Linked DNA regions of Diceros bicornis minor. The protein of the gene in region 3 interacts with the protein of the main gene of each other region in a pairwise test. Links are inferred from orthologs where the notes say so. Each region holds a gene or a part of one and is shown on either strand. Other genes may lie near its edges. The genes, in order: TSSC4, MAT2B, KPNA3 and ERCC3.

Region 1 (6,967 bases), on a different chromosome or scaffold from region 3:
CCACCTGCAGGCAGCCCGTCAGCTCCCTTCCCAAAGGAGTGGGGACGGGGCCCGCGGCACCTGCCCCTAAAGCCACCCTATGTGGGCAGTGGCCCCCGGCAGCCCCTCCAACACCAGCCCACGGGCAGCCTGGTTGGGGAAGGCTGGCTGGGCAGTCTCTCCTCTCAGACCTCAGCACCCGAGGCCTCGGGGCTGCTGCCCTTGTTCCGGAAGTGGTCTCTACTCCGCTTCCTGCTGCCGTGGAAGCCAACAGTCTCCACCACTGGGGACCCTGCTGCTGACCCGGTGTGGGCGGCCCCCTCTGGCGTGTCCACCTCCTGCAGGACCCCACAGGGGCTGCTCCACTCCTCAGCCTCCGGGCTCCCAGGCCCAGCCAGGTGGGCCAGCTCCACAGGACCCTCACCCCCCACCACTGCTGGGTTCCCAGGGGCACCCCTGCCCCGCTCTCCCGCCTTCCTCAGGACCCTCTTCCTTTCAGGTCTGGCCTCGCCAGCTCGGGCCGGTTTGGTGAAGATGACTCTTCCCTCCCCGCAGCTGGAGGGATCCTGGTTGAAGGAGGGCACGTAGTTGCTGGGGGCAGCCAGGCTCTGGGAGCCCAGGAAGGCCATGGCGGCGGCCCGGTTGCTCTGCTCGCTGGCCTCGGCCACGTCTTCCAGGCTGTACTTGGTCCAACGCTCGGGATGGGCCACGTAGTCAGGGACAGGCCTGCCTAGGCCCTCTGCTGGAGGCTGGCTTGAGGGCAGCCGGGGCCGCTTGAAGCCCCCATTGTCACCCATGCCAGTTTGGGGCACAGAGGGCAGAGCCCGCCTGGCTGCCCCCTCCAGGCAGTCGAAGATGTTGTGGCTGCGCTGAGAGAAGGTGGTGCTCGTGCCTCTCAGGTGGAACGCCTGCACCTCAACTGTGGGGAAGCCCCTGGGGGATGAGGGGGACTCATCGGGGTCTGAATCCCCCTGGGCCTCCCCAGGAAGCCCCTCTGGGGACAGAGCTTCCACATCAGCACCGCTCGGTAGGCTGACGTCGGAGTCTGAGTCGCTAAGGGAGACGGTGTCGGAAGGCAGGGTGTTATACTCTGTCCCCTGCTCGACGTCCAAGCCAAGAGAGGCCTCGCCTGCCTCTGCCTCAGCCATGTGTCCCAAGGCCACGCCACACCTAGACCAAAACAGCCCAGCAAACAGTTTCTGAGAACAGCACGCATTTAGAACAAACTCCTCCTGCAGACCTACTGCACCCAGCAGGCAGCAGGATCAGCAGAAAGAACTGTGTCCTACAAAGGAAGGGACAGTCCCTCTCCACTCCCCAAGAGCCCTCCTCACCTCCCTTGTCTTCTGGGTGCCTGTGCTGACACTGGAGTGCTGGTGGGAGGAGCGCTGCCAAAGGTCCGTGGCGGCAAAGGCGTGGTGGCCTCAGTCCCAGAAGTCCCCCGGCACAGCTCTGTTCAGCTGCGGCTCAACTGTAGGCGGCTGAGACTGGGGAAGGAAAGCCAGCCATCAGACCACAGTGAGCGTGCAGAAGTGGTGCCACAACCCCGGGAGTGGACCCGGGTTTCCGGAGCCCCCATACAGGCCAGGTCCAGGAGCAGGCCCTCTGTCATGTCACCTCATTCAATTCTCTCGAGCTAAGCCTAACTTGACAACTAGGGGCCTGCTGGGGGACGGGGAATTCTAGTAGCAGGCGGCCAGCCAGGGCTTGAACCCCGAGATGAGAGCAGCCTCTGCTTGACACTACCACTCTTGACCAAGGAGGGTCATTCATAAACTGCTCAGCACAGCGCGAGGCACCCAGGAAGTACTCCACCAAGACTGGAGCACTTTGCCCTGTCTGTGGGGAGCAGGTTTGCTCCTGATTGCTGGAGTTGCTCTGAGAGCTCAGAGGGGTCTGCAGCCAGGTCCTGGGCACCTGAGGGTCAAAGCTCTCAGGGAACTGGGTGTCAGTGATCACCTGGAGCAGCCTCGCTGGGCAGAGGCAAGCCCCCGCGGCCCCTAGAGCATTTCTCCTCTAACTCGCTACACACCCCCACCTTCCCCAGCTGAGCAGAGAACTGCTGAGGACACTCGAGTGTCCGAGTGTGACCAGGCACCCGCAGCTTTGTTTCCAGGTTCAGAGGCAGCCCAGCCTCACCCATCCGTCCACCAACTCCCCTTCCCCGGAGAAGCCTCCCTAGCCCAGGGTGACCCATTGCTCCTGCTCCCACTGAAGACCTGGCCAGGCGGAGCAGGAGCGGCCCCGAGAGCCCCGCACCAGGTCAGACACGGGCGAGATCTCCATTCCTCTGCGGCATGACTCCCAAACGAGGGAACGACTAAAAGAGAGAACAAGGAGAGGAGCACACCCCACCGGGGGGTTCCAGAGCAGGCAGGGCCGGGGGGACAGATAATCTGCCCGTCACACAGCACGTCGCACGCACGGCTGGAGTTCCGAGCAGACCCCGGCTCCCCAAATCCGCACTCCCGTCCCCTGCACCGCCGGGGACGCCGCCGCGCCTACGACAAGACGCCTGACCAGCGGGGCGCTCGGGGCAGACGGGAGCCTGTCTCTGGGAGCTCTCTGGGAACTGCGGGAGCTCAGAGAAGGCAGAGCCGAGTCCGGGCTGAGGGGTCGGGGGTCCCCGGGAGCGGGACCACTGGCCTCCTTGCCGGTTCTCTCCCCGTCGGAGGCAGAGCCGTGACTTCCTGCACTCGCGCCCAGCAGGCTCTCGTGCCGAGGCCTGGGTCTTGGGGACCCAGTCGGGCTGGGTGAGGAAGTGTCCGGGCCTCACGAGGCACGGGGGCCCGACGGCCAGGCCGCGAGACATGAGGAACAAAGAGCACGTTGGGGTCTCAGGGCTCGGGGCAGCAGCCTGCGAGACCCAACCGGCCTGCGCCGCCGTCCTACCTCACCACAAACCTACCAGCTCACGGTGGCCCGCCCGGCCATCTCCATCTTGCACCGCCTCCATCCTGCGCCGCGCTCGGATCTCTGGGAAACCGAGTCCTCCGCCGGCCGAGCGCCAAGGCTTCCGCGCCTGAAGAACTACATCTCCCACAAGGCACTGGACCGCTACTCCCGAGGCCTGTCGGGACGTGTAGTCCTTGCGCATGCGCCCTCGCTTCTCTCCCTGACCTCCCCTCCCCGGAAACGTCGGAACTCCTTCCCCAAGAGCCCGGAATTGATTAGGGAGAGGAGGGAAGGGAGGAGAAGGGACTGCGACTCCCAGAATGCTCGAGGGCTAACTGCTGGCGCCGGTTTCCTTGGGCCTCAGCGCCACCTGCCGGAAGGCCCGAGAACAGTAGTCCCTCAGGCCGGAAGTGCATCATCACGCGCAGCGTTGTTCCCGGGCACTTCCGGTCCTGGCCGGAAGCGGCTGATCGCGCTCGTCGTAGGTCCTAGGAGCAGGCCGCGCCTCAGGTAGAGTGCTCGTCGCAGCCGCCGAGGGGGTCATGGTCGGGCTAGCCTGCTTGCCGATGGCTGATGGTCCAGCTGGTCTCTTCCGCCCGGGAGCGGAGGACAGGCCCCGGCTCCCTGGACAGGCGCTTGTCCCTCGTCCCCGGGCCCAGCGGCCGCCACCCGCCCCTTCCCCGCTGGGCCGCGCCGTGCCCGAGTCCAGGCGCCTCGGCTCCCGCCTGCTGGACGGCCGGACCTCGGCCTCTCCCAGGGCTGCATCCCCGGAGTCCAGGGACCCGGAGAGGAAACGGGGCCCGTTCCTGTGCAGCCTCGGGACTCCCCATTTCCCCCCCCCGCACTAATTGTGTAGTGTCACATCGCAGCTTACAGGTGACAGACACCTAAGCCCTGGCCAGGACATCCCCGGGTAAAAAGGGGGCTCTTCGACCATCCCGTCCTTCTGGCCGACCCGACCCGGCAAGCTCGGTGGAGGGGTATGGTGAGAGCGGCAGGCCCGCTGAGACCCTCCCCCCCGACCCCCAGCGCAGGTCTGGGGTTCGTTTCCAAAATCTGCCCCCAGGGAGGCGGCCGGGTGCCCGCGACATGAATCCCAGCCAGGCCTTTGTGGCCTCAAGGGGTCAATTTTAACACACACGCAGGTCCGTGCCTGCCTATAGCTCACAGTGATGTCACCCAGCCTTCCAGACGGGGCAGCAGCCAGATCCAAGAGGCAGCTAGACCTCAGTCCACCGTGGTGGGCCAGGTGGGCTCCCGCAGGCAGTCGTAGAGGCCCTCTGATCCAGCGCCTGCACGATGGGGCTTAAGCCCTGAGCCACCCAGCTCCTCAACAGAACATTTAGAGGCACCTAGACGGGGAGGGACAGGGCCGGGGCCAGGCGTCCAGCCTCCACAGAGCCCTCCGTCAGGAGAGTCTTGCAGGCCCCCCACCTCAAACATCTGCTGCACCGCATTCTCTGGCCGCCCTGTCCCCCCTGCTCCTTCCAGGCAGTGGTGCAGCAGGAGGAGTAGGGGAGAGGTTGGCTGGAGACTGCTGCAGGTGGCACAGGGCCCAAGAAAGGGGGCTGTCCTGGGGGGGGGGGGGTCTGTCTTCACCCACCAACAGAGTTGGCAGCACACCCTGGGCCCAGCAAGGTCCACAGAGCTAAGCCCCATGCGTGCCAGGCTCCCCTTCCCCTCCGGCCACCCCCTGGGTCTTGGACGATGCAGGCACAGGAAGGGGCTGGACAGTTTGTGAGCATGCCTGGTTTTTCTTTCTTTATTGAATGACTTTCAAGATGTAATTACAGTTGAAGGTGACACGTTAGAAAGGAGAGGTGCATTAAAGGCATAAGGCCGCTCGTAGACCCCGCTCTAGAGACAGGTGGCAGGAGAGGAACATGGATTAAAAACGGCCTGAGCCCTGCAGCCTATGGGGACAGGTGGGTGGGAGGATGCAGCTCCACCAGAAGGCCCGCGAGGTCCCCTGGAGAGGGCTGGCTGAGCAGGCAGAGCCCCCAGGCGGCCCCAGGGGCAGAGGGGGCCCCTGCCCTGCAGTCCCCAGGGTCCAGTCACATACCACCTACAGGTGACATCAACCCCAGAAGGTAATGGGGAACTTCAGGACCAAAACAAAACCTCAAAAGTAAAAAGACTAATAAGTGCAGCAGAGTAATAATACCAGAAAAGTTATATACACAGGTGGTGAGAGGCCCTCTGCAGAAGTGTCCGGGTCGCCCTGGGGATGCCGCAGGGGTCCCACCGGCCTGGCCTGCGGCCCGAGTGGCCGGAGCCTCAGTACACGGAGCTGTTCCGGATGCCACAGCAGAGCACCATGCTCAGGATCATCTCGAAGATCTGCGGGGAGGGGGCGGGCAAGCTGGTCAGCACCCACAGACCCGTGGAGGGCTCTGAGCAGACGCCCCACCTGCCCGCTCACCATGATCACTGCCACTACGATGGCGGCAATGCCGATGAGGTACAGCTTCCCCGAGAAGAGCTCATCGATCTTCTTGTGGCAATCTTCCTGTGGGGGATGGCCACAGGCGGTCAGGGGCACTGGTCCGCAGGACCCCCGGACTGCAGCAGCCGGATCATTGTAGAAAGAGCATGGAGGGGCACGGCCCCTGCCCCTCAGAAGAGGTGTGAACAACACCCAGTCTCTCCATTTTAAACCAAATGTGGAACCGAGGGACGGGCTGTGTGCTCCCTGTTCCACTCAGAGATCACTGGGCATTGATGGGCGTTGACCCAGCGGTCAGGGCGCCCTCCATGCCTGCTCGGGTACGGGTAGAGCTAGCGGAGGAGGAGAGCTCCCCCACTGGGAACCCAGGGCACAGTCGCCCCGCTATGGGCCGTCAGTACAAACTCAGCCTTGGCCCAGCCCCACAGGCAGAACAGCCCTGACTCTAGCCACAGTGCCGCTGTGTAGCTGTGGCCCACCCACCACCCAGGACCCACTGAGAGGGGAGGGTGGCAGCGAAGTGGGGGAGCAGGCAGGCCCAGCCCCACCCAGCCCCTGGGAGGTCCCACCCACCACCCACACCTTGAATAAGTTGGGTATAACCTTGCCGCCCGAGGGACACAGGTCGTTCCTGAACCCAGGGGTGGTCGTTGCGAATGGCGTGCTGGAGCCACAGCAGTTGAGCTGCAGAGAGCAAGCATGCCCACGGTCAGTCCTGGGCGCGGGCAAGATGACGCAAGGGGAGATGCACGAGGATAGGCATCCCACAGGCTGCAGGGGCCCCAGCAGCTGCCCCGGCCTGGCATGGTGCTGCGGGGGTGGGATAGTCCCCTCCAGGGGGAGCACCAAACCCAGGCGCCCCCTCCTTCCCTGCCTCTCACTCAGCTGTGCTGCTCAGAGACCCATGAACCCCAGCCGGCCTGAACTGTCTCGTTCCCACCAGGGACCCACAGGTCCCAGAGAAGCCCCCACAGGGCTCGCAGACGGCCCCACAGCCCTCAAGGAGAGGGCTGCCAGGTCTCAAGTGTCCCTTCTGCTCCGGAGGTCTGGGCTGAGGCCTAGCTGGGCCTCAACTGAGGGGACAAACACCTTCATCCACCTGGCCTCCCCTGGTCCCCCTCGACCCCTTCCCCGCCTCCCCCCATCTCCCGCACCGTCTCGTGGAAAGTCTTCACCACAGCCTTGGCCTTGGCCTTGGCGTTGTCGCTGTCGCTGTCGCTTTTGCTGAGTGTCACGGCCTGCTGCAAGGCCTGGTCGTAGAACTGCTTCACGTCCTTGGCGATCTGGGGGAGGGGTGGGGTCACATGCACAGCGGGGACCATCCCCAGAGACAGCGTTCACCTGACTCTCCCAGAAGGTATCACTTCCAGGACAGCCCAGCTGCAACCCAGAAGCTGGGAGTCGGGCAGCCCTGCCTCCATGCCACCGCCTCCAGAAAGCCCTCTGTGGTCTCCCTCCCAGGCCAGTCCCAGAGAGCACCCCGCAACCCGACCCGTCTCCCACAGCCTGAGCAGCAGGTGCTCCCCCCCGCCGCCCCTCCGGGCTGGGACTGGCCCTCCCCTATGGACTCAGGCTCACCTGGTCCTTGTTGACAAAGCCCCAGATGCCGGCAGCCACTTCGCAGGCAAACAGGATCACCAGACAGGT
Region 2 (7,973 bases), on a different chromosome or scaffold from region 3:
GCTTATATCCTTATACCCTGGGGCAATATGTAAGGTCCCTAAAAGAAAATATGAAACAGTTCACAGTACTCGGTGGTCAGATGTCACTGCTCAAAATTTTCTTTATTAAAAGAGCAGAGATCTGAAGTGCAAGCAATTTCTCAAACAGAAATGATTCTGCACAATTGTACACTTGTTATATAAACCTACATCATACTTTTTGATCATAAGAATAGCCTTGTTAGGCAGGGCAGTTATTATTTCCAAAGTGAGGAACCTGAAGTCTAGAGGTTAAAGGTTTTGCCCACAGTAACGGGGAAAATGTTGGGACCAGAACTTAGGTCGTCTTGCTTCTATGGTCAGCCAAATACATACAGAGTTGTCTCAATCCTTTGAACTTATATTTGGTTTCATGATGATTAAATTTAATCTGCTCTGCCACAAACTGCAGTATTGAGAAGTTACTCCATCTCTGCTGATCTAATTCCTCATTGGTAAAATGAGGCATTTGAACAAGATGACTAAGGGTCTTCCAGCTTTACAGTTCTAAAACTCTAACATTTTCCATGTTATCCTTACCACAAAGGGGTCTCAATAGAGTGAAAGGAGCTTCATTTACTTAAATAACTTTTCCTCTTTTCACATAATTCTCTTGAGACTCATTGAGCACCTTCTGTCACCAGTAAGGAGCCAAAACAAGATTTTTTCATTTGGATTGCAACTTTATTGGTGGTTGGCAAATAAAATATGCATCACTCTGAAATTAAAAGATGCCAAACAAAAATAACTGTTCTATTTTTGAGTTTCTATATACAAACAGAACTCTACCTGAAGCTTTTAAAAGCATAGTTTTGATTTTTTTCTTTTTAAAAGAAAAGAAATACTCCTCTAAAAACTACTTTGGACGATTACTCTATAAATTATTTTAGTCCTGCAAAACAGGAATGTCCAAACACCTCGAGGAACTTACAATGGAATAAAAAGCTGTCTAGTTAACCCAAACCGCAATCAAGAGTTCAAAATATTCTGCCTGAAAAGCCTACTTTCTCAATTTTCATTATCTTATGGGTTAAGTATCTCAAACATCACTTTAAGTTACTCAGAGAACACATTTGCCTCTTATCGTATAAACTCTTAGACGTACAGAATTCAATAACTTCAGGTGACCAGGTTTATAGACACCAAAAAAATTCTCAAAAAATTAAATACATATAAATAAATGTGGAACTACTGCTCTTATGATACTATTTAATTAAATGACACCAAACTGTATAGGTAATGGGAGATAAAGAGCTCTTTCAAAAACGGTCCAAAGCAGTACTCTGGGACAGTGACTTCTACTTGAAGACACCTGCATCAACTTCTAACTAAAAATGTCCTAGAAAAAGTAAAGACTGAAACATTACTAACATCTAAAGAGGGATCTTCTTAAGTTTTAGTGGTAAATATAATAATACTTTGCTATTTTCAGAACCTCTTAAATTTGGCAAAGTTCCATATTCATGTCTTTAATTGGTCCTCACAACATTCCCCGGAGGGAGATCTTTCAGTAGACATTCCAAGACTTGTAAGAAACTTTTTATGATCCCATGACAACCTAGGTGACACTGGTCTAACTCCTGCTGTCACCCTATTGTACTCCACAGCCAGTATTATTAACAGAAACCATTAGTCTGCTTATCTAACATCAACTATAAGACTAGCTTCAAAATTCACTCATTCTCACGAGTGAATTTTAATTCCACAGGTTTTGAGAGCAGCAAATATGTGCCAAGCTTTTGGTTGTACCATTTTTAATGAAGGAAAACCCATTTCCATTAGTCTACTGAACTCCTACTGTGAAAACTGATTAAGCTTTATACATGCACATATACATACATGTATGCATATGCATACAAATTAAAGTAAACAATATGTAACATTATCTATTCAATATTGTTTGGGGTACATAAGAACAATACAGAGGTTTAATAGCCCATCCATCCTAACTTTACCCCCAAAAATCCCAAAGCGATTTGAAAACACTAAATATGGAACATTTTGGAGGCATAAACCTTTTGCATTATCGAAAACAGCCGTCTCCTAAATCCTTTCGTATAGCCATAAGACATACTAGTCTGGGCATTAACAGTCTTCTAATCCCCTGTGGACTGATGAATGCTGGGGGGCTTGGAACAGAATAGAGAGAATGGGGTGGGGTGAGGGGAGGGGGAATGCCAGGGATGGCTCTCGCAAACACAGTAATAGCCTTCCTTTATGCAACCTCCGTAGTGCTTCAAAGCCTGAGACAGTCAAACAGACCTGTATTTGAATCCCGGCTCCAACCTTACTCAATGAACTTGAGCCAAGGACTCACCCTCTAAGCCTCGATTGTCTCATCCGTAAAATGGAGCAAAAACAGATCTCACAGTTATGAGGATTAAAGTAAATAATACATGTAAAGTGCATAACAGTGCCTCGTATAAACTAAGAGTTCAGTAAATTGTCATCTCTAATACTGTCATAATTTCTGGAAAGCCTCCTTTCCCCTTCTTAGAGATACAACCTGGTAAGATCGAGGAAAACGAACAAAGGATGAAAAAGAAATTCAGGAAGAATCAAAACTGCAACAGCTCTGAAAATCCCTCTTCGTTCCTAGGAAGGCAGAAGATTCGGAAGTGAAATCCGACCTACTCATTTCCTGCCGCAGCAGCTGATAAAGAAAACACCGACGGGTGCGCGCCGAGATTAACAAACTTGGGGGCACCGCCCTCGCCTCCCGGGGCTGGAGAGGCGGCGCCGAGGCGAATCACGGCGGCGGCCCCGACTCGGCAAGACGCGCCTGGAAAACCACTCGAGCCTCCACGACCTGGCCCGTCTCCCTCTGCGCCCCCGACTCCGAGACCCCCGGGCCGACTCCCTCACCTCCACCAGCTGGCAGTTCCCAGGAACAAAGTGGATGGAGAGCTCCTTCTCCCTTCCCACCATGCCCGCCGTCTTCGCGCCGCCGCCGCAGCGACCGCCACTTCCCCAGCCCAGGATCGCTACGGGCCGCGGTTCCGTCGCCTTCGGCCCGCCTCCCCGAGTCCGGGCCGGCCCCCACTCACCACTTCCGGCTTCCGCCGCCCCGGCCGCGCGCGGTGATTGGCCACGCTCCGCCGACACCCCAGGCAGGGCGAGGGGGCCCTCCGGCCGCCCCTGGCCCACGCGCCAACTCGTAAGGGCTGCACGAAACAAAGGCCTCGGCCTTAAACAGCCAACACAAGTTTTATGTTGGGGGATTTGTTTCTCTGCTTTCTTTCTTCTTGTGTAGGGAAGGATTGAATCGGATTGCCTCGAGTTTCAATTTTGCAGACTGTGAGCAGTGCATAAGAAACAACTGGGCATGTAATATATATAAAGTGGGATAAAATATTTTAAAGACATGGGCAGTGAGGCGAGGGGAAGCACAATGGACATAGTATCTCTAGAGAGATTTAGAAAGAGGCATGGAATTAAAAAAGTGTTGGCATTTGAGTCATTAACACCTCAAGAACCCATTTGTCTTTCTGGGATGCTAAAAGAATAGTACGTGTGAAATTCCAAAGATGGCAAACCATTTTTAACAAGTTAAAAAGGTGGGGGCAAGGGGGATGAATTATTTGGGTGCCTCTTCAAAACGTAGATTCTCGGACCTGCCCAATAATCAGAATGAGAATCGGTGGGACTCCAGTTAGTTGATTTAACATGTGTTAAGAGCACCCTTAGAGAAGCAGCGCCTTAGGGGCTGCCGAGTTGGGCTACAGGTGCCGAGCCTCTGCAATCACCGAAAATTAAAGAAGGCACCAAGGGAAGAGAGCACTGCTGGACCTTCTGCCACCTGTAACGCGCGTCTTTTAAGTATAGATGAGAAATAGCTCTAAGTGTTGAGGCTGCCCTAGCAGGCAAATGATTGCCTTTCCAGTTCAAAACCTGCAAGTCCCCCGCCAGCCGCGGCGCCTGTGAAATTTACTCAGAAAAAAAAAAAAAACCAGCCTAGACCCTGTAGGGTTCCCCAACTTGTCACCGAACACTCTGAGTGTCCTTGTCCAGACACACGGGATACCAAGACCTACAAGTCGCCCACAAACGTGACTACTGCTTGGGATCTTTTCTAAAAGGCCTTATTTTCGTAATCCTTTTTGGTTTAAGCTTACAGCTAGAGACTAAGCAGCCTTTTTAAAAAGTTATTTCACGTCTGAGTCCCGTGACTTTCCTTCCTACCCAACCCCCAAGAAAAAAAACTCATTTCCTTCTTTGTGTAAATATAAAGTTTCTTTGGAACAGTAACGGAAGGGCGCCTGAGGCCCCTCACTTTTCGATTTTTGTTTTAATCCAGGCTGTTACTGTTAATCAGTTTTAGAAAGTCCTTCAGAGAACTGTCCCAGCACTAAACATGCATGATCTGCAAACAAAGAAAAGGCAAGTGTGAGTTCAGGGAAGCAGATTCAAGATCCTCTTAATCCTCCTCCCTTTAAAAACTGGGAAATTTTTTAAAGTTTCTAGTTGCAAGGTGTGATGCAATCTAATCTTTCTGGGAAAAAAATTAAGTGTTCAACGTGAAAAAGATTTAAGGACATGCATATGCAATTAGCATTTTGATGCTCAGAGCAGCCTTGCCTAGGGTGAGGATCAAAAAGAGTTTAGTTGCCTATTATTTGAGAATATGGTTTGATACTTGCCAGGTAAAACTTGGGTATAGTTCTAGGAGCATATGTTCGTGTATGATTTTTAATTATTCTGTTTAAAGATGAAAGTTTCTTTGTGAACAAAAACACCATCGTTATACAGACAATATTCAACTTCGTGTGGCTAAGACTATAAGTTTAAAGAGAGCATCCTGATTCATGCCAAGACAAAGAAGGGCTGGAGCACACAACTATAGATAAAATCCTTATTTATATAGAAACTTCGCCTACATCATTGCAAATAATCTGGTAAATGAAACTGCTGTTCTGTTTTGCATTTTATTTTTGTCAATTAACGAGACTTAGCTGAGCTCTCCGTAACCTGGTTCCCAAATTTAAATTGGTTTATTCTTGCATGTCCCAAAGTTATATGTTTCAAGGAAATGAATGACACCGTTTCTTTCTTTCTTTCTTTCGTTTTTTTTTTTAACACAACCTTCCGGCTTTTACCTGACATTCACTGGGATGCTTTTAAAGCAACTCTAACTCCAGAATACTTCATTTCATGAATAGCTAGCTCTTACCTGTTCCATGTCCTCCGGCATTTCAGGCATGATTCCAAAATTATCTCAGGAAAATAGAGTTGGGTTGTGTCTCAGCCTCTGCCTGCTCTGGCTCGGTCTTTGTTATGCCTGCACAGAGCGCAGGCACGCAAAAACGGGAGCCGCAGCTTCACTCGACCTTTTAAATTAGCATTTTGATTCCAATCCCAGAATCTCGTGCAGTTTTCCACATTGCAGTAAACTGGCAGCTGATTCCCCGTGGCGGTCTCGAAAATACCCAATGAGAAGTTTCATGTTTAATTGCCAGCCAAGTGAGGATTTATTAGCAAAACCATTAGGAAAACCAACTTATTTAAAAAAAAACTTCCTTGAAGACTTGTTGAAATTTTCTCTGTTGAAATTGAGTCCTGTTTTGAAATATTGTATCATTATGCCTTATTTCAACAGAATCTATTTCGTAAAGTTCTCCAGTGCTTCCCCCCACCCCCCACCCCCAGTGCTCTCTAATTAACTATGTCAAAGGACCGTAAGAGGCACCGGTGGTAACAGCAGGCAGAAATGAAACTGCAACTGGTCATTTCCATTAACATTGTCGTGCCTTCTGTTTGAGAAAAACTTTAGGTTTGGCCAAACATTAAGGACTTCTAGATCAGGGATTCCCAAACCTGCCTGCACCACAGAACCTATGAAACAAAATCAGGAGTGGAGCCCAGCAATCTTATTTTTAACAATTACAAAAGTGATGAATAACCTCAGTTAAATTTTGAACCACTGTTCTGGGTTATGGCTCTGTAACGATTTAAGAACAACAACAAAATGGCCATTCAGATGGAGCTAAAAGAAAAAATCACTTAACTCTATAACCACTTAGAGAACACAGCACATGTTAAACTCTATGAGGCATGCAGAGGTAATGAAGTAATGAAGAACTATACAGTTTTTTAAAATTGATGAATTTTAATGAATTAAAAACTTCTGTTCATTGAAAGACAATGTTAAAAAAATGAATAAGCAAAACACAGGCTGGGAAAAAATAATCTGCATACATATATCTGAAAAGGACTTCTATTCAGAATTTTTAAAGAACTCCTACAACTCAATTATTTTTAAAAAATAATTTTGAAAATGAACATAATTTTTGAACAGATACTTCACAAAGTGAAGACATAAGAATGGCCAGGATCACATACAAAGATTCTCAACATCAGAGAAACGCTAGTTAAAATCACATTGAGATACCATTACATGCCTAACAGAAAGGCTAAAATTTAAGAAGATTGGTAATATCATATGCGAACAAGCATTTTGAGCAACTAGAAAGCTCATCCATTGCTAGTGGGAAAATAACAAAAACAACCACTTTAGACAACTATTTGGCAGTTTATTATAAAGCTAAATATATACCTATCCCACAGCCCAGTAATTCCACTTCTAGGTGCTTACCCAGGAGAAATGCAAGCATATATCCATAAATACTTGCCCAAGAATATTCATAGCAGCTTAATTCAAAATAACCTAAAACTGGAAACAACCCAAACGTCCATCAATGGATGAATGGATAGACAAATTTGATATATCCATACTGTGAATTTTACTCAGCTATACAAAGAAGTGAACTATATGAATGAATGTCAGAATCATTATGCTGAGTGAAAGAAGCCAGAGACAGGTGAAATTCTAAAACAGGTGACACTAATCTATAGTGAAAGAAATTATCTTGCCTTAGGGGAAGGGTAGGGATTGACTGTGAAGGGCATAAAAAACTTCCTGAGGTAATGGAAGTGTTTTATATCTTGATCGGAGTGTGGGTAACATGGGTATATACGTTTATCAAAACTCATCAAAATGTAACAGTTAAGATGTGTTCATTTCACTATCTGTATTACTGTACATAATTTATACCTCAATTTTAAAACAATAATACATATTTTGGATCATTTGGGTCCCAACCTTAGACTCGGTCAACAATTTCTAGGATCTAGTATCTAGGATCTAGTATTTGAGATAGTGTTAACGTTTGCATTGGTACCAAGTCATGAATTAAATGGACAGTATTTAAATTTCTAAACTCATTAGGATCTAAGAAGTCAAAATCTTTTTCCTTCCTAGGGTATGCATACATTTTTCAAGTTTGAGAAATACATCTCTAAGTTATTATGATACCCCAAGGGCAAAAACAAAGGGTTTTGTTTCTTCTTTTTCACAACATCCTTTCTCTTTGTAAACTACCCTCTGCTTTGGCCATCCCAGCTGTTCCCATTTCTGTGAATCTGACACCCACATGAATGGCTTTGACACAAATTCTCTCCCAAGCTATAGTTTCCCCATTCCAGATGCCTAAAAGGCATCTTTACCTGTATGTCCCTCTGGCATATCAAACTCACAGTTCCAAGAAATTGAAAGTAAATTTAATATTAATTCTTCATCTTGTCCACCAAACCTGATCTTTCTCTTAACCTCCCAGGTTTGTGTGAAAGATACTATTATACTAATCAACTCAGCTAGATTCAAATATGCCTATGGGAATTTATTAGGGGATAAAGATAATAAATTAAAAATGAATCATTAAAAACAATAAGGCTGGATTCCTACTTCACTTATACTAAAATAAGTTCTTGATAGATTAAAATAGCTTAAGTAAAATGTGGAACAAAAGTACTAGAGGAAATTGTGTAGAATAATTATGGAGTGAAGAAGCCTTTTATAAGCATATCATGAAATTCAGAAACCAAAAGTAAAAAGATCAACAAAGTAGACCACATAGATTTTTGGAAATATCTGCATAACAACAACAAGAGCTATAATG
Region 3 (7,477 bases):
ACCCTCTCCCCACTCACAATTCTCTGGCATAACTCTACACTTTTATTTTCTTTAGAAAATATGTATTTCATTCTTGCATCGAGCATCTTATTTGTGTATCAGCTAGTTGTATAATTTATACTATATCTTTTATCTATCCTATATGTGAAAAGGTAGGAATGATATCTTGCCAGAGCGAATCTCACTGTTTTGAAATAGCCTGATGATCGCTACTTAGTCACAGAGCTAAATCGTAGTATAAGTTTTTAATGTAATATAGTTTCTAATGGATAAGACTAAATTAGTTATGGTGTTTAGTCTTAGCGATACCTAAATCCACAATAAAGGATCAGATTTGATTAGATTTGACCCCAGTTTACCCTTTAGTCACATCTCGAGCACTCCTTTCTCTCACAGCAGTCCTACTACATTCTCTCAGGACTCTTCAATTACTGCCACCTCAAGTCTGGAATGCCCCTTCCTTGCCCTCTCCCTTTCCCCGGCCAACTTTCTTTCATCCTTCAGGATCAGCTCATTCCCATCAATCCACCAGGAATCAACCAGAACATCTCTCTTGACTGCTCAGCTCCAAGTTAGCATCTCTTCATGCATTCTCAGAATACACTTATTGATGTACTGCATTGTAATTATCAATTTACTTTTCTATCATTCCTACTGAACAGCAATCTCCTTGAGGAACTGCAAACTCCTTGAGGGACAGACTGAATTTTACTCCCTTTTGATCCCCAAGACGTAACATTATCAGACACCCAATAGACAATTAGTGAACAAATGCTCGTACCCACTTCGTGACCTTGCGCAGGCTACATGAAGCACTCTTGAGTTTCCTCATCTAAAGTGCTTTCCTTCTGTAAAGTGGGGACAATGCCATACCAAGCTCATAAAGTTGTTATAAGGATAAAATGAGGTATCATGAAGCTCTTAGTTTAGTCTCTGTCATATAGAACTACCATTTGAATGTCTGCCATTTCACCCCTTCGTTACCCTAATGTATCCTGGGAAACGTGATGTTGTTACTACCAATAGTTTCAGACTGAAAGGCTTAGCAACCACGTATCTTTTTCATGCATCCAGAAGTCACTGGTTACATTCTGATCATCAGCAAATATTTATTGTGCACTTATTACATGCAGGAATCCCTACTAGGTATCACTGTGTTCCCAGAACACAGTAACAGAGGCAAACAATAAAACAAAAACCTGTAACAACACCCAAGAAAGGAAAGAAAGTTGTCAGCTCTTCTCTACAAACAACATGCTTATTTTTCAAACTACATAAGTTTTGCTTTATAACAGGGGTAAGCTTCAAGAACAACTACTGATGGAAAAAGTTCAAAATTAACTCCTATCATCAAGTGGACCAATAACAGGAGGCAGTTCCAAAATTTCTTGTTGCTCTTCCTAAGTTTCACTTTTGCTTAGAAGTATTTCTCACAAAAGAAATTTAACCATGACCGAGGCAGAGATAGACGACCTTTATCTGTCTCATTCAAACGGGAATTCCACAGTATTTCCCTAGGTTTTTTCCAATTAGTATTTAATTTTGGAGCTCTGAAAAATGGCCTGAGTTTTGTCTGGTTTTCTACGAAACAAGGCTGAATGGCATATTTTCCCCACCACCTTCTCTCTGAGACAAAATGCACACTTCCTAGTCACACTGGCCCCTTAGCAAGAATTACAAAACTGCAAATCATGTCATCTAGCATTAGAAAAAAAGACTGTGGACTTAAAACCACTTTCCCCCTAACAAATCCAGAGGTCAAAGTCCCAGTGAAGTTTATGCATTATACTACACTGCTTTTAGTAGCTGCAGAGAGACCTCTAGCGCTGCCTCAATAAGCCGAGTTTGCAAATAGTACCTGCTAATGTCACCTTAATGAGACAATGGCAACATGCTGAGTAGCAACGAACTGTGACCACGATGAATGTTTACAGTTTTGCAACCACTCGGAAATTCTTCCAGCTGGGAGCAAGAGGTATATATAAGGCCGTATGAACCTACGTATCCAATTTATTTCAGTAAAACATGTCAAAGAAATTATTATCCTATACACACCCTCACTACAAGAAAGGCTAAGAAAACAAGTCTTGTGAGCGGAGGTCGGAACAACGTCTCTTCCGAAGCCTCAACACAATAGATGGTAAACTATTGTCCACCTTCAGCTTGCTCCAAATGCCAGCAGTAACAAGAGTATGAGCTGGATCAGCTCAGCACGACTAGTCCAAAGGACAGCCTTGGAATATCAGAAAATGGTCCTGGCGCATCCTACCCTCCCCCATCCACCACCCTCAAACAAGTCAGTTACCCGGCTGGTCCCCACCCCCCTCTGCGGGCCGCCACCGCCCGCCTGGGCCCGGCTCGCAGGAGGCAGGCGCGGGGACCGGCAGAGCCGAGGCTCCATGTGCGGCAGGGCGGGACGCAGCGAGGGGCTGCGCCGGGCGGGAGGCTGCACGGGCAGCCGGCGCGAGCCGCGCCGCCCCCTCGGCGGTGCGGTCGACTGACCGGGGCGGCAGCATCCCCGGCCCGCGAGGCCCCGGCCCGCGGACCCCGCCTCAGCTCTACATCCCTTCCTCGCCGACAGCAGGCCGCGCCCGCGTGACGGAGCCGAAAACCCCGGCATTTCCCGGTCCCCGCGCCGGCAGCCCCGGAGGGTGGCTGCAGCCCGGCCCGCGTCCCGCCGTCCGCTCCGCCCAGCCCCGGGCCGCGGTGACGGCAGGCGGCGGCCAACTCTGACCCACCGCGAGCCGGCGAGAACCAGCCCGGCGCCGGCCCCCCGCCCCTCCCCGCCGCCGGGGGCCAGCGCGGCCAGGCGGGCGAGCCGGGCGGGCCCCGACCGCGGAAGCACACTCACTTCCACATCGCGGCCCTTGTTCTTAAAGCTCTTGATGCGGTGGTTCTCCAAGCCGGGGTTCTCAGCCATGGCTGCGCGCGGCTCCGGCGGCGGCTACTCCTGCGGCTGCGGCGACGGCGGCGAGTCTCGGCGCGGGAGGGGGAGGTGGGGGAGGACGGGATGGGAAGGGAGGGGGAGGGGGAGAGGCGAGCACGTTCCGTGACGCCTCCGAGCGCGAGGTGGCAGCAGCGCCGGGGGAGGCGCAGGCCGTCGGCCGGGCGGGGAGGAGTGGGGCGGGAACAGCGCAGAGGAGCTGCGCGCGCGCCCGGGGAGGCTGGGGGTCACGTGACCAGGGGCGGCCACGGGCCTGGACTCCGGCTGATTGTGCCCGGTTGTTCTCGGGGTGACTCCCACCCCACCCAACAAGGCCTTCCCGCAACCCCTAGGGCCTGCAAGTCCTGTGCCAACAACGGAGCCGTACTGAGCGGCTTTACTGCCCGCTAGACGCGGAGCACTGGGGGGGGGGGGGGGGACTACAGTTCCCAGCATGCCAGACTCCAGTGGGGGTAATTCTCCTAGCCTTGACAGAACGAAAAGAATGCCGGGAACACTAAGCGCGCGCCTTTCTGCGCGGCGCGCTCTGAGCTCCTTGTCGCGAAGCTCCGCCTCTAAGGCCGCCTCTGGGCGGGGAAGCGGGAGGAGCTTCCCCGGAGACGGCACCTTGCGCCCTATTGGGAAGGAGGGGGCAGGGCTTTCTGAGAGGCTCACCTCTCTCCCTGCAGCCTAGAAAATGCATAACCGACGCAGGGTTCGTGGTTTGCTCACTTGCTTCTCTGGGGTCTCGTGGAGTATCAGCCACCCTCCTTCGCTGTTCTCTTGGTCTGCTTTGGTTTTATAAATAGCATTCATTTCCACCTGACATGTACATATGTATGTATGTGATATGTGTGTTTATGTGTGTGTTACCTAGCTTATCGCACCGGAATTAACTCAGTAAGAGCAGGGACGTTGGCTGAATCCCTTGCATCAAAAGTGCCTGGCACGTCGTGAATACTCCATAAATACCTGAACAAATGAGCGCTCTAGCGTCTCTCGGTTTCTTCATCATCCTTCCAAGCCCGGTTCTGCAACCTTCATTATAGGAGGTCCTGCATTTCTGTGCCCCAAACACCTCTTGTTCCACCACCACACATAATCTTCTCAGCCTTTAGGCAGCAGTCAAGTACTCGTCCGCAGACTCGCCAGTCTAGCATCTCTCTTTAGATGTCATCGGAGGAATGATCAAGGGAAATTTGGATCTATAACACTAATAGAGTATTGCTTTCTGGAGCAAGTGGACTTCTTTGATTATATGTGAAATAATTCAGTTTCAGAATCTATGGCAGATAGAAGAGGTATGCGATGTTACAGTACAATTCAAATGACACTGAGGTCATTCAAACGTTGGTAGAAATATAACCATAAAGAGATTAAAGAAGACATTCTTTCAAAGCAAAGGGGCCTTGAAGAGCCTGGGTCCAGAGGTAAAAAAATGAGGCCTTTGGTGGCCAGGCTATGTCTGGGGCATTTGTTTTGTTAGTGATGGGACATTGGCTTTTTGATAAAACACAGGCCCATTTAAAGGCTTCAGACCATTGTTGCCATATTGTACTGTGGGCCAGTCTTGCCAAAGGTTCATTTTTTTAAGGCAAACCAAAAAGCTGGGTTCTTTTTACTTCATTTTTAAATGTTGATTCACATTTTCTAATGCACTTCTGTGAATCAGTCACTTTAGAACTCCAGGCTCTTACTTTGTACTATGTGATCCTAGTCCAACCACTCATTTGAAGAGGGGGAAAAAAACCAAAACTGAAGCTTAGAGTGAATAGATTGCTTCAACTCTAGTTCTTCAGGTGATGGAAAGTGCATGTTTGCCACTTTCGCTGATTGACTGGAAGAGAAACTTCTAGACTGTTGCTCAGTCTCTATTATAATTGAGCAAGGCATTCTCTTTTCAGGTTACTTTACCCCCTGCTACCACTTCTCTTCACCCTACTTGCTGTCATCAGATGTGTTGTCTTTCATCATTCTGAAGTTTTAGACATATTTAGTGAGCACTTACCATGTGTCAGTCATTGCACCAACACTAGGATACATTTGTAAACAAGACAGCCTGGTTCCTGCTTCCACACAGCTTCGTGTCTTTCAGAGTAGACAGACAATAAAATAAGTGGTCACCCCAAAAGTGTGGTGGGTGTCAAGGCTCACAGTAGGGAGATCTTTATAACCTGCTGATTCCTAAGACTCCTTACATATGAGGGCAAGATCACAAATGGAGGTCTACATAGCACATATATAAATATTTAAAAATTATACATCAAGCTTACAAACTTAAATAAAATATATTCTAACCTTTGACATTGACAAATGCACTTCCTTTGCAACCTGGAAGTCTGGGTTTGAATTCTAACGTCCCAACTTCTTGGACTTCTGCTTCAGAATTTGGTGGTGCAAAGAGGGCTGGAAGCCAGCCCCCAGCCCATTTTTTGTTCTTCTTCTCTTCCATGTCCCGGCGCCATCCTATACTGGAATAGACCTTAAGAACATGTGTGCATACCTCTACCCACGAAGTTCAAGTCCTGCTTCTCACCACTAAAGCTCTATTTACATCCCCCTACCCACCTCAAGAGATGCCCCTTAGCCATTGCTCAGGCCTAGAGCGTGCAAAGCAGTAGCATCGTGTGCCCCCAAAGGGATGGACCCAGGAAAGAGGCCTGAGAAGGCCCTGGAAGGAGGCGTGGCCATTGAGCAGGGAACCCCAGGGCTCTGGTATCCAGAGCTGGGTCTAGAGGCAAGGTTCCAGTGAGCATGAATCCTTGGCCGCATGGACTCCCGACGGGGAGTGGTGCAGCTGAAGAGAGCCAGAGTGAGGTCCTCTAAAGGGCAGGGTCCAGAGCAGGGCCCCCTCTTGCCCAGGTCTAACTTAGTCAGTTTTACTCTTTGCCATTATCCCTGGTGACTTCAACATCCACACACCTGGTACCCTGACCCCAGAGTCTCTCCACATTCTTAACTCTACCAGATTTCTACCACTTGTAGCTCCCACCAGGCCTTAGAGTTCTTAATCTCTGGGAAATAACTGCCTCCAGTGACTCAAATTTGGTGCTTCCCGTTGTTAGCAACCATCTCCTCTTTTCCCTCACTCTAGTCTTTGCCTTTGCCCTGAAACTTCTCCTGACAACTCTTCTTTTAAATAGATTTCTTTTCCAAACATATTTTTAGTATCCACCATATATCAAGCATTGTATCCATCAGGGACTTACATTAAGGAGCAGGGGAGTGGGGAGCAGAGCAGAGACAGGAAGGAAGGGCCCTCAAAGCCTGGGTGGTCAGTCACACTCTTCTTCTTCCTCTGACTCACCACCCACCTTCCCAGCGGATAGTCAGGTGGCAATACGCAGAAGGCAACACAAACACAACAGATCCAACATGGAGTTCCTGATTTTCCTCCTGAAGCTCTTTCTGCAAATTTGCCTACTCTGTTAATGGCATAACCATTCTTCCAGGGACTCCACTCAAAGCTAAGAGCCATCTTTACTCCCTGCCTCTCTCCCAACTCCCTCACCTAGTCACCTTGTTAATTCACCACTCAGTGCTTCTTGAATCTGGCTCTTCTTCCCATGCCACCCACAAGTCCACCTTAAGGCATCCTAACTGGTTCCCCTGCCTCCTCCATCCTCTCCACAACAATCTGACTAACTTCTCCAGATCTTCCTGATTTTACCTCTTCTCCCCACATCCAGTACACCCCTCCCCCTCACCATTGTCAAATCATTTCTAAATTCCTCAGTCTGGTGGTTAAGAACATGTGTGATCCAGCCACAGTGCAGTACACTTTTCTTATTTCTGACTCCCCTGCACAGAGCTTATGCTTCAGCTAACATGTTCTACTCAACCCTTCCCAAGTATGTCTTAGCCTTTCCAGCCTTCATATCTTTGCTGTTCAATTTATCTATAAAGCCCTGGCCCTATCTCTACCTGTCAAAATTGGTCCCTCTTTAAATGCTCAGCCTAAGAGTTTGCCCTCTCCGTGAAGCTTTCCCAGCATGGTGCAGTAGAGGGACCGGCAGAATCTGAACACTCAGACCCACTCAGAGTTCTGAACACTCGGAATCTGGTAGGGTTGACTTCCTACCAGAGCAAGCCCAGGCAAGTCACCTTCCTTGAACCATCTTCTCATCTACGAATGAGAATTCTGAATCGCTGGGTTTTTGTGAGAATTAAGTTGGAAGTGCTTTGAAATTGCTACATTAATGTTAGTTGTTAACTGTCTTTCCAACCAGGAGTGATATCTTCCTCTCTGAACTTCAGAAGAACTTACCTACTGTTTTGTATTGCTAAAATTTGTGTAGTCTTAACTCTCTCACTCCCCTGTAAACCCTTGAAATAGCTTGTACATATTTGGGTTCCCCAGCCTAGAATAATTGGATCTCATGCATGTTTTCTGAATGAATAAGTGAATTAATGAGTGAATAAATGAACTCCTTCCTTCCCTCATGATCATGTTTTGGCTATTTCACATCTCTCTGAGAGCACCTGAAGCAAAAAGTGAATACAGAAAATTGAAGAAAATGACACTCAAATTCATCAACCCACTCACCTCGCAGT
Region 4 (7,422 bases), on a different chromosome or scaffold from region 3:
TGCACCAACACCTACATTCCTGTAGGCAGCTCCCAGCCAAGACTGAGCACAACCAGGGTGCTGATGTAGGCTCATTCCAGTGAGGTGCAGGCCCTTCTCCCTGGGCACCCTTCCACACACAAGAAGAGAAAACTCTCTCCAGGGCTCCTGCCAGCTTCTCTGAGATTGGATACATTACTGTGCTGGATGCCTATGGCACTCATCTTCTGCCACTCCAGATTTAGGGGTCTGAATCCAACTCCCTTTAGACCAGCAGAGGGCACCAAAAGCCACCGTCCATCTCTTCTAAATGGCATTCACGTATCTCTCAGAACAAACCCAAGCATGTTCAAGGTGCTCTTCACATGGAACCCTACCCACTTCAACATCTGAAGTTCTTTTTGACTTTCCCTAATGGAAATTGTGACCATTGGTGCAGGTATTCAGCCTTAGATGGAGTTTACCACCTGTATTAGTCTGCTTGGGCTACCATACAGAACACCACAGATTGGGTGGTTTAACAACAGAAACTTATTTCTAGAAGTCCACGATCAAGAAGCCAGGGATTCAGTTTCTAGTGAAGGCTCTCTTCCTGGCTTGCAGAGGGCTACCTTCTTGCTGTGTGCTCACATGACCTCTTCTTGTGCATGTGCAAAGAAAGAAAGAGAGCACATGAGTCTTCTGGTGTCTCCTCTGATAAGGACACTAATCCTATCGGATCAGGGCCCTACTCTCATGACTTCACTTAACCATAACTACTTCCTTACTCCAAATACAATCACATTAGGGGTTAGGGCTTCAATATGAATTTTGGAGGGGATACAATTCAGTCCATAACATCATTCACTTTGCACTGCATTCCCAAATAACCCTGGCCAGAATGGGCCTAAATTACTACCCCCACTGTGTTAGTACCCACTGGCTAACAGCAGCTCATGGTAAGTGTGGCCTCAGCAAGAACACAATGCTGGATCCAGAGAAGCAGCAGCTAGGGTAATCAGTTTTTATGCTCCCCACACTAGCTCTGAATGGCATTTTCATGACCGCCACAGGTTAACAAAATGTAGCACCTGTCTCCACTATTACCACATTGACAAGTAGGGCAAAAGAGCCAGCCTCAGCCTCCACTTGCCTTAATAAACTGAATAATCCCATCAGGTACTCCCGTCTTGCTGAGCTTCCTGAGGTACTCAGTGATGTCACTGGTCTGCAGCCCAACGCTGACAGCTGCATACAGGGAGTAGGCAGTTAGTTTGTACTCATGTACATGGGTTGGTCGGCACACTGGCTCTGCAATAGCCACCAGGAAGTCTTGAGCATATTTGTAAACTGGAGAGAAGGCTTCTAAGAAGATGTGGCCATCAGGAGCCTGAGAAACACCAAACCGTCACAACAGACAAGGAAACTAATGAGTTGCAGAGATTATTAGACTCTTTCTCTTATCATTATCTAGAAGAGATAAGCTGCCCCAAAAGTGATCTTTAAGTGTTTCAACACCAGGGATATTTTTGTAAGCACTCCTTCAGTCAACTGGGGGGCCTGTTACTTAATCAGATACAAAGAACAGAGAGGAAAAGAAGTAAAGGTTTTCAAAGTCAGTAGCTGCTTCCCACTATTCTTCACAGGGAAAGCCTACCTTACTGGCTCTCCTCAAGTTCCCTTTGGGCTAGACTTCAAATAAAATGTAGAACATTAATGACTTCAAGTTGAGCAAAAAGTTGCCTACCAAATATATACATATATATGTCTCCCATTAATTTTTAAAAATGGGGAACTTGGGGCTGGCCCCATGGCTTAGTGGTTAAGCGCACACGCTCCGCTATTGGCAGCCCGGGGTTCAGATCCCAGGCGTGCACCAACGCACCACTTGTTCAGCCATGCTGAGGCCGCGTCCCACATACAGCAACTAAAAGGACGTGCAACTATGACATACAACTATCTACTGGGGCTTTGGGGAAAAAAAAGGAGGAGGATTGGCAATAGATGTTAGCTCAGAGCCGGTCTTCCTCAGCAAAAAGAGGAGGATTAGCATGGATGTTAGCTCAGGGCTGATCTTCCTCACCAAAAAAAATAAAAATAAAAAATAAATAAAAACGAGGAACTAAAATGTTACATAATAAATGCCATTTATTTGGTAGATAAAAGTATTTCCAAATATGCAGTAGAACTATCGAGGGAAGGGGAGTAAAAGGAGGGGTTAGAGATGAAGGAAGCCCACGTCTAGCCGGCCCATGTGTGCATCCCTCCTGCTTATTCCCATCTCGGGCTGTTCAAACTGTGTAGGAAAGCTCTCTTCCAGCCAGTCCTTAAGAGCACTACCCTGCATTTCCACTTTGGCCCCACAGACTCTGGGGCCCTGCCTGGCTGAGAGCATGCTTACCACCCAGAGGGGCCTGGAGCTGTGGTCGTCCTTCAGCGGCATCTGCAGCCTGTAGTCCTTGGCCCCATACTCATCCACTTTGGTGCCGGACTCATCTACCTGCTTCCCGGCCGCCGAGGGCACCGCCTCCTGAGAGTCGTTCCCGGGGGCGTCGTCTTCATCTTCTTCCTCGTCCTCATAGTGCCGCTTCTTGGACTTCTTCTTATCTGCAGATGCGGACACAGAAGTGAGCCGGGCAGGAGAAGCCCAGGGTCCCCTCCGCACCGCCCAGCTGCATTCCGGGGGAACCTGACCGCAGCCGTCTGCCACCAGCGCCACGCACTCCCAGAGGGGTCCACCTGCAGCCGGGGCGACTCTCCCTCAAACCTTCCCACCCGGCAGGACGCGGGGCTGCCCAAAGACCCAAGCTCGCCCCCGCCCAGCGGCCCGTCGGGACACGGGTGTGCAGGCCGAGGGGCGGCGGGGTCGAGCAGCGCGGGGCAGCTACGACACAGGACGACGGAGACGGCAAGTGCAGGTAGGCCCAGGCACGCCCCCGCCGCGTCTCACCGCGCTCCGCCCGGTCTCTTTTGCCCATGGCGGCTACAGCCCCAGTCCACCACCGCCGCCGGCCCGCCGCGGCTACAGGTCCCAGGGAGACTTCCGGTTCACACAGGAAGCTCTTTCGGCAACCACACAGGAAGTCCCGCCTCTGGGTGCCGGGTCGCCGGGCAGGCGACGGCGCGTGGCGGCCGAGCAGCGTGTGTGGTGTGACCCTGGCGGAGGCTCCTTTCTCCCCATTCTTTGCTGTAGTCAGTCAATGAAATATTTGTTGAGCACCTGTTGTGATCGTCCAGGCACTGTTTTAGCCGCTGGGGTAGGACAGTGAACAATGTCAAGCCCTTGGCCTCCTGGCGCTTAAGTTCTAGTAGAGAGGTGTGGGCAGTAAACAAATACGGTGCTAAGAGCTCTAAAGAGAAATAAAACGGCCCGCAGTGACAGGTAGTGTCATTCTAAATGGAGTGGTCCCGGAAAACCTCTGAAGTGGTGTTATTTCAGCAAAAGATCTGAAGAAAGTGAGACAGTGTCCTATGTAAGTACCAGGGAGGAGCAGTGCGGGCACAGGTGTGAGGCCGACACAGGGTTGGCGTCGTCGAAGAGGAGGCTGAGAGGGAGCAGTATGGCTGGGAGACGTAGGGGAGAGGACATAGTACAGTACATGTAGTGTAGTGGTTCTTCAAATGGGGTCCCCTGGCTGCATCAACATCATATGGAAACTGGTGATAACTAATTAGAAAGGCGCAAATACAAAGTATCTGGCCCCATCCCAGACCTATTGAATCATGAAATTCTGCAGGTGGGCCCAACAGTCTGGCCCTCCAGAAGATTCTGATGCTTACGTTTGAGAACCACTGATGTAGAGCTTTGTAGGCCATTGCAAAAACTTTGGATTTTATTTTGAAATGGGAAACCACTGGAGAGTTTTGAGCAGAGAAGTGACAATCTGATTTAGTATTAAAGGATCACTCTACACTGGCTGCTATGTTGAAGATAGACTTTATAAGGTCAAGGGCAGCTAATGCTGCCCTCCAGTTGAGAAATTGTTGGCTTTACCAGGGTGGTAGGGATAAAGGTGATGAAGGGTGATTCCGTTCTGAATATATTTTGAAGTTAGAGCAGCATTTGCTGACTGACTGGATATGGAAAGTGAGGGAGAGGACTAACGGAGAACTCCAAGGTTTTTGGTCTGAGCAACTGCAAAAATGGTGTACCTTAGGGAAGGTTCAGATTGAAAGGTGTTTTGGACATTTTGAATGTGAGTGGCTATATTAGTTGGCTGGAGTGCTGTAACAGACTGTGTGACTTAAACAACAGAAATTTATTTTCTCACAGCTCACAGTTCTCACAGCCAGGAGGCTGGAAGTCCAAGATGAAGATCTTTCTCTCTTCCTGGCTTCAGTTGGCCACCCTCTTGCCTTCTCACTATGTCCTCACATGGGAGTTAAAAGAAAGGCAAGCTCTCTGGTGTCTCTTCCTCTTCACATGAGGGCACCAGCTTTGTCAGATTAGGGCTCCACCCTTATGATCTCATTTAACCTTTATCACCTCACAGGCTCTGTCTCCAAATACAGTCACGTCGGGGGTTAGAGCTTTAACATGAATTTTGGGGAGGATGCAATTCAGTCCATAGAAGTGGCCTATTAGACAATTAAATGAAGTGTCAAGAATGCAGTTGGATGTAAGTCTAAAGTTCAGGGACCTAGAAATATAAGTTTGGGAATTGTCAACCTATTGGTGGTACTGAAGCTATAGAACTGATTGAGGTTACCTAGGGAATGAATGTAGTTAAAGCAAAGGTCTGGAACATTTCACAGTGAAGAGGCTGGAAGATGAAGGAGAACTGGGCAACACCAGTTGAGGAGCAGTCAGTGGGAGAGGAAAATCAGGAGTCCTGGAAGTCCTGCTTTTATTTCATTTCATTTTAAGGTGGAGGAAGTGATCGGCTATATTAGATGCTGCTGATCAGCTGAGCAAATTGAAGACTGAGACCCAGCCACAGGATTGGCAATGTAGAGATCACTTCTCAGCTTAATGACCTTCAGTAAATTGAAGGTTTGTTGGTCTCTGCCCTAAATGAATTTCACTTACTCAAGAAGTGGAGGAGCCACACCTTTTTTTTTTTTTTTTTTGTGAGGAAGATCAGCCCTGAGCTAACATCCGATGCCAATCCTCCTCTTTACGCTGAGGAAGGCTGGCCCTGGGCTAACATCCGTGCCCATCTTCCTCCACTTTATGTGGGACGCCACCACAGCATGGCTTCACAAGCAGTGCGTCGGTGCGCGCCCGGGATCCGAACCTGCAAACCCCGAGCCACCAAAGCGGAGCGCGTGCACCTAACAGCTGCGCCACCGGGCTGGCCCCAGAACCACACCTGTAAAACTGGTTTTTGCATTTTTATATTTTCCCTCTGATTTAAGTAATACATGCCATGTAAAAATCTTGGAAAGCAGAGAAAAGCATAGCAAAGGCTATTTAAATCATGGATAACACTATCCCTAGCTATCTACATTTTGGGTTATTTTCTTCCAGGCTTTTTTTCTGTGAGTTGCTCTTTTTACACCATGAAGATGTTATTTGAACATATAATTTTATATCCTTCTAACATAAGCTTTATCCACCCCTCATTAAAATGAATGTTTAATGAGTACTTAATTTTCCATTGTATGGCAGTATTATAATTTATTTAGTCAAACCCTAATTTTGGGGCATTGGGATAGTTCCAGTTTATCCTATTATACATAGCCCTGTGATGAATATCATTGGATATAAGTCTTTAACTGCATCTGGGATTGTTTTTTTAAGGCAAATTCTGAGAAATAGAAATAGTGGATTAAACATATGGCCTTTTTTTTTAAAGCTCTTTCTGCCAAACCTGGTTAATTTTACTGAAGATGATGAGGAAGAATGGCTAATCTAACATTAAGAAAATATTTTGTGTGAGACAGCAAGATGGAAGAAAGGAACAAAAGTACTACAAAACTATGTGAAATCAATTAGCAAAAAGCAATAGTAAGTTCTTATTTATCAATAATTACTTTAAATGTAGATGGGTCAAAGGGTAAAAACTTTCTGTTATAAGAAGAATAAGTTCTAAAGATCTAATGTACAGCGTGGTGACTGTAGTTAATAATGTATTGTATACTTGAAATTTGCTGAGAGTAGATCTTAAGAGTTAGCACCACACACACACACACAGACACACGCACACACAATGAATTAGCTATGTGAGGTGATGGATGTGTTAATTAACTTGATTGTAGTAATTATTTCACAGTGTATGCATATATCAAATCATCACATTGTACACCTAAATATATATAATTTTAGGTGTCAATTATTCCTTAATAAATCTGGAAAAATAAGAAAATAAAAACAAAAAAATATTTTGTGAACTAATATTTGACAAGAAAATTCAATGGGGAAAGGATAGTCTCTTCAATAAATAGTGTTGGAAAAACTGGATAACCACATGCAGAAAATGAAATTGGACCCCTAAATAACACCACTCACAAAAGTTAACTCAAAATGGGTTAAAGACTTAAATATAATACCTGAAACTATATAACTCATAGGAAAAAAAAACAGAGAAAGAACTCCTTGACATTGGTTTTGGCAATGATTCTTTAGATATAACACCAAAAGCACAAGCAACAAAGGCAAAAATAAATAAGTGGGACTACAACAAACTAGAAAGCTTCTGTACAGCAAAAGGAACAATCAACAAAATGAAAAGGCAACCTATGGAATGGGAAAAAATATTTGCAAACCATATATCTGATAAGGGGTTCATATCCAAATTATGTAAAGACGGTATACAACTCAATACAAAAAAAACAAACAATCCAATATAAAAATGGGCAGAGGAACTGAACAGACATTTTTCCAAAGAAGACATACAAATAGTCAACAGGTACATGAAAGGACACAACATCACAAATCATCAGGGAAATGCAAATGAAAACCACAATGAGATATCACCTCACATTTGTTAGAATGGCTACCATCAAAAAGACAAGAGATAGCAAATGTTGGCAAGGATGTGGAGAAAAGAGGACCCTGGTGCACTGCTGGTGGGAGTGTAAATTGGTACAGCCACTATGGAAAACAGCATGGAGGTTCCTCAAAAAATTAAAAATAGAACTATTGTATGATCCAGCAATACCACTTGTGGATATATATTCAAAGGAAATGAAAACAGGATCTCGAAAAGATATCTGCACTCTCATGTTTATTGCAGCATTATTCACTATAGTCAAGATATGGAAACAACCTAAGTGTCTGTCAAGGAATGAATGGATAAAGATATGGTATATATATATACAATGGAATATTATTCAGCCATGAAAAATAAGGAAATCCTGCCATTTGCGACAATATGGATGGACTTTGAGGGCATTATGCTAAGTGAAATAGGTCAAACAGAGAAAGACAAATACTGTATGTATATGTAAAATCTAAAAAAATCTGGACTTATGAAAACATAGAGTAGAGTGGTAGTTACTAGGGGCTAGGGGGTGGCGGGG

What was found.
Region 1: the proteins of KPNA3 (region 3) and TSSC4 interact in binary tests that used the Homo sapiens proteins (3 or more experiments, as listed by UniProt). The two-hybrid records come from large-scale screens. The link is inferred for Diceros bicornis minor from reciprocal best matches to the Homo sapiens genes KPNA3 and TSSC4.
Region 2: the proteins of KPNA3 (region 3) and MAT2B interact in binary tests that used the Homo sapiens proteins (3 or more experiments, as listed by UniProt). The two-hybrid records come from large-scale screens. The link is inferred for Diceros bicornis minor from reciprocal best matches to the Homo sapiens genes KPNA3 and MAT2B.
Region 4: the proteins of KPNA3 (region 3) and ERCC3 interact in binary tests that used the Homo sapiens proteins (3 or more experiments, as listed by UniProt). The link is inferred for Diceros bicornis minor from reciprocal best matches to the Homo sapiens genes KPNA3 and ERCC3.

The regions. Positions count from the first base shown.
Region 1 is NC_080770.1:2,325,157-2,332,123, forward strand, and holds the start of TSSC4 (U5 small nuclear ribonucleoprotein TSSC4), read right to left. Parts: upstream 3,014-6,967; 5' UTR 2,888-3,013; intron 2,835-2,887; exon of another isoform or gene 2,192-2,834; intron 1,467-2,191; 5' UTR 1,314-1,466; intron 1,150-1,313; 5' UTR 1,128-1,149; coding exon 165-1,127; 3' UTR 1-164. Other genes in the region: CD81 antigen, read right to left, coding at 5,152-5,214, 5,297-5,383, 5,903-6,004, 6,475-6,603, 6,899-6,967. UniProt on the Homo sapiens protein: Protein associated with the U5 snRNP, during its maturation and its post-splicing recycling and which is required for spliceosomal tri-snRNP complex assembly in the nucleus.
Region 2 is NC_080740.1:78,415,252-78,423,224, reverse strand, and holds the start of MAT2B (methionine adenosyltransferase 2 subunit beta), read right to left. Parts: upstream 3,018-7,973; 5' UTR 2,947-3,017; coding exon 2,884-2,946; intron 1-2,883.
Region 3 is NC_080748.1:27,437,446-27,444,922, reverse strand, and holds the start of KPNA3 (importin subunit alpha-4), read right to left. Parts: upstream 3,009-7,477; 5' UTR 2,921-3,008; coding exon 2,852-2,920; intron 1-2,851. UniProt on the Homo sapiens protein: Functions in nuclear protein import as an adapter protein for nuclear receptor KPNB1. Binds specifically and directly to substrates containing either a simple or bipartite NLS motif.
Region 4 is NC_080749.1:5,633,534-5,640,955, reverse strand, and holds the start of ERCC3 (general transcription and DNA repair factor IIH helicase subunit XPB), read right to left. Parts: upstream 3,003-7,422; 5' UTR 2,937-3,002; coding exon 2,909-2,936; intron 2,566-2,908; coding exon 2,360-2,565; intron 1,349-2,359; coding exon 1,112-1,348; intron 1-1,111. UniProt on the Homo sapiens protein: ATP-dependent 3'-5' DNA helicase/translocase. Binds dsDNA rather than ssDNA, unzipping it in a translocase rather than classical helicase activity. Component of the general transcription and DNA repair factor IIH (TFIIH) core complex.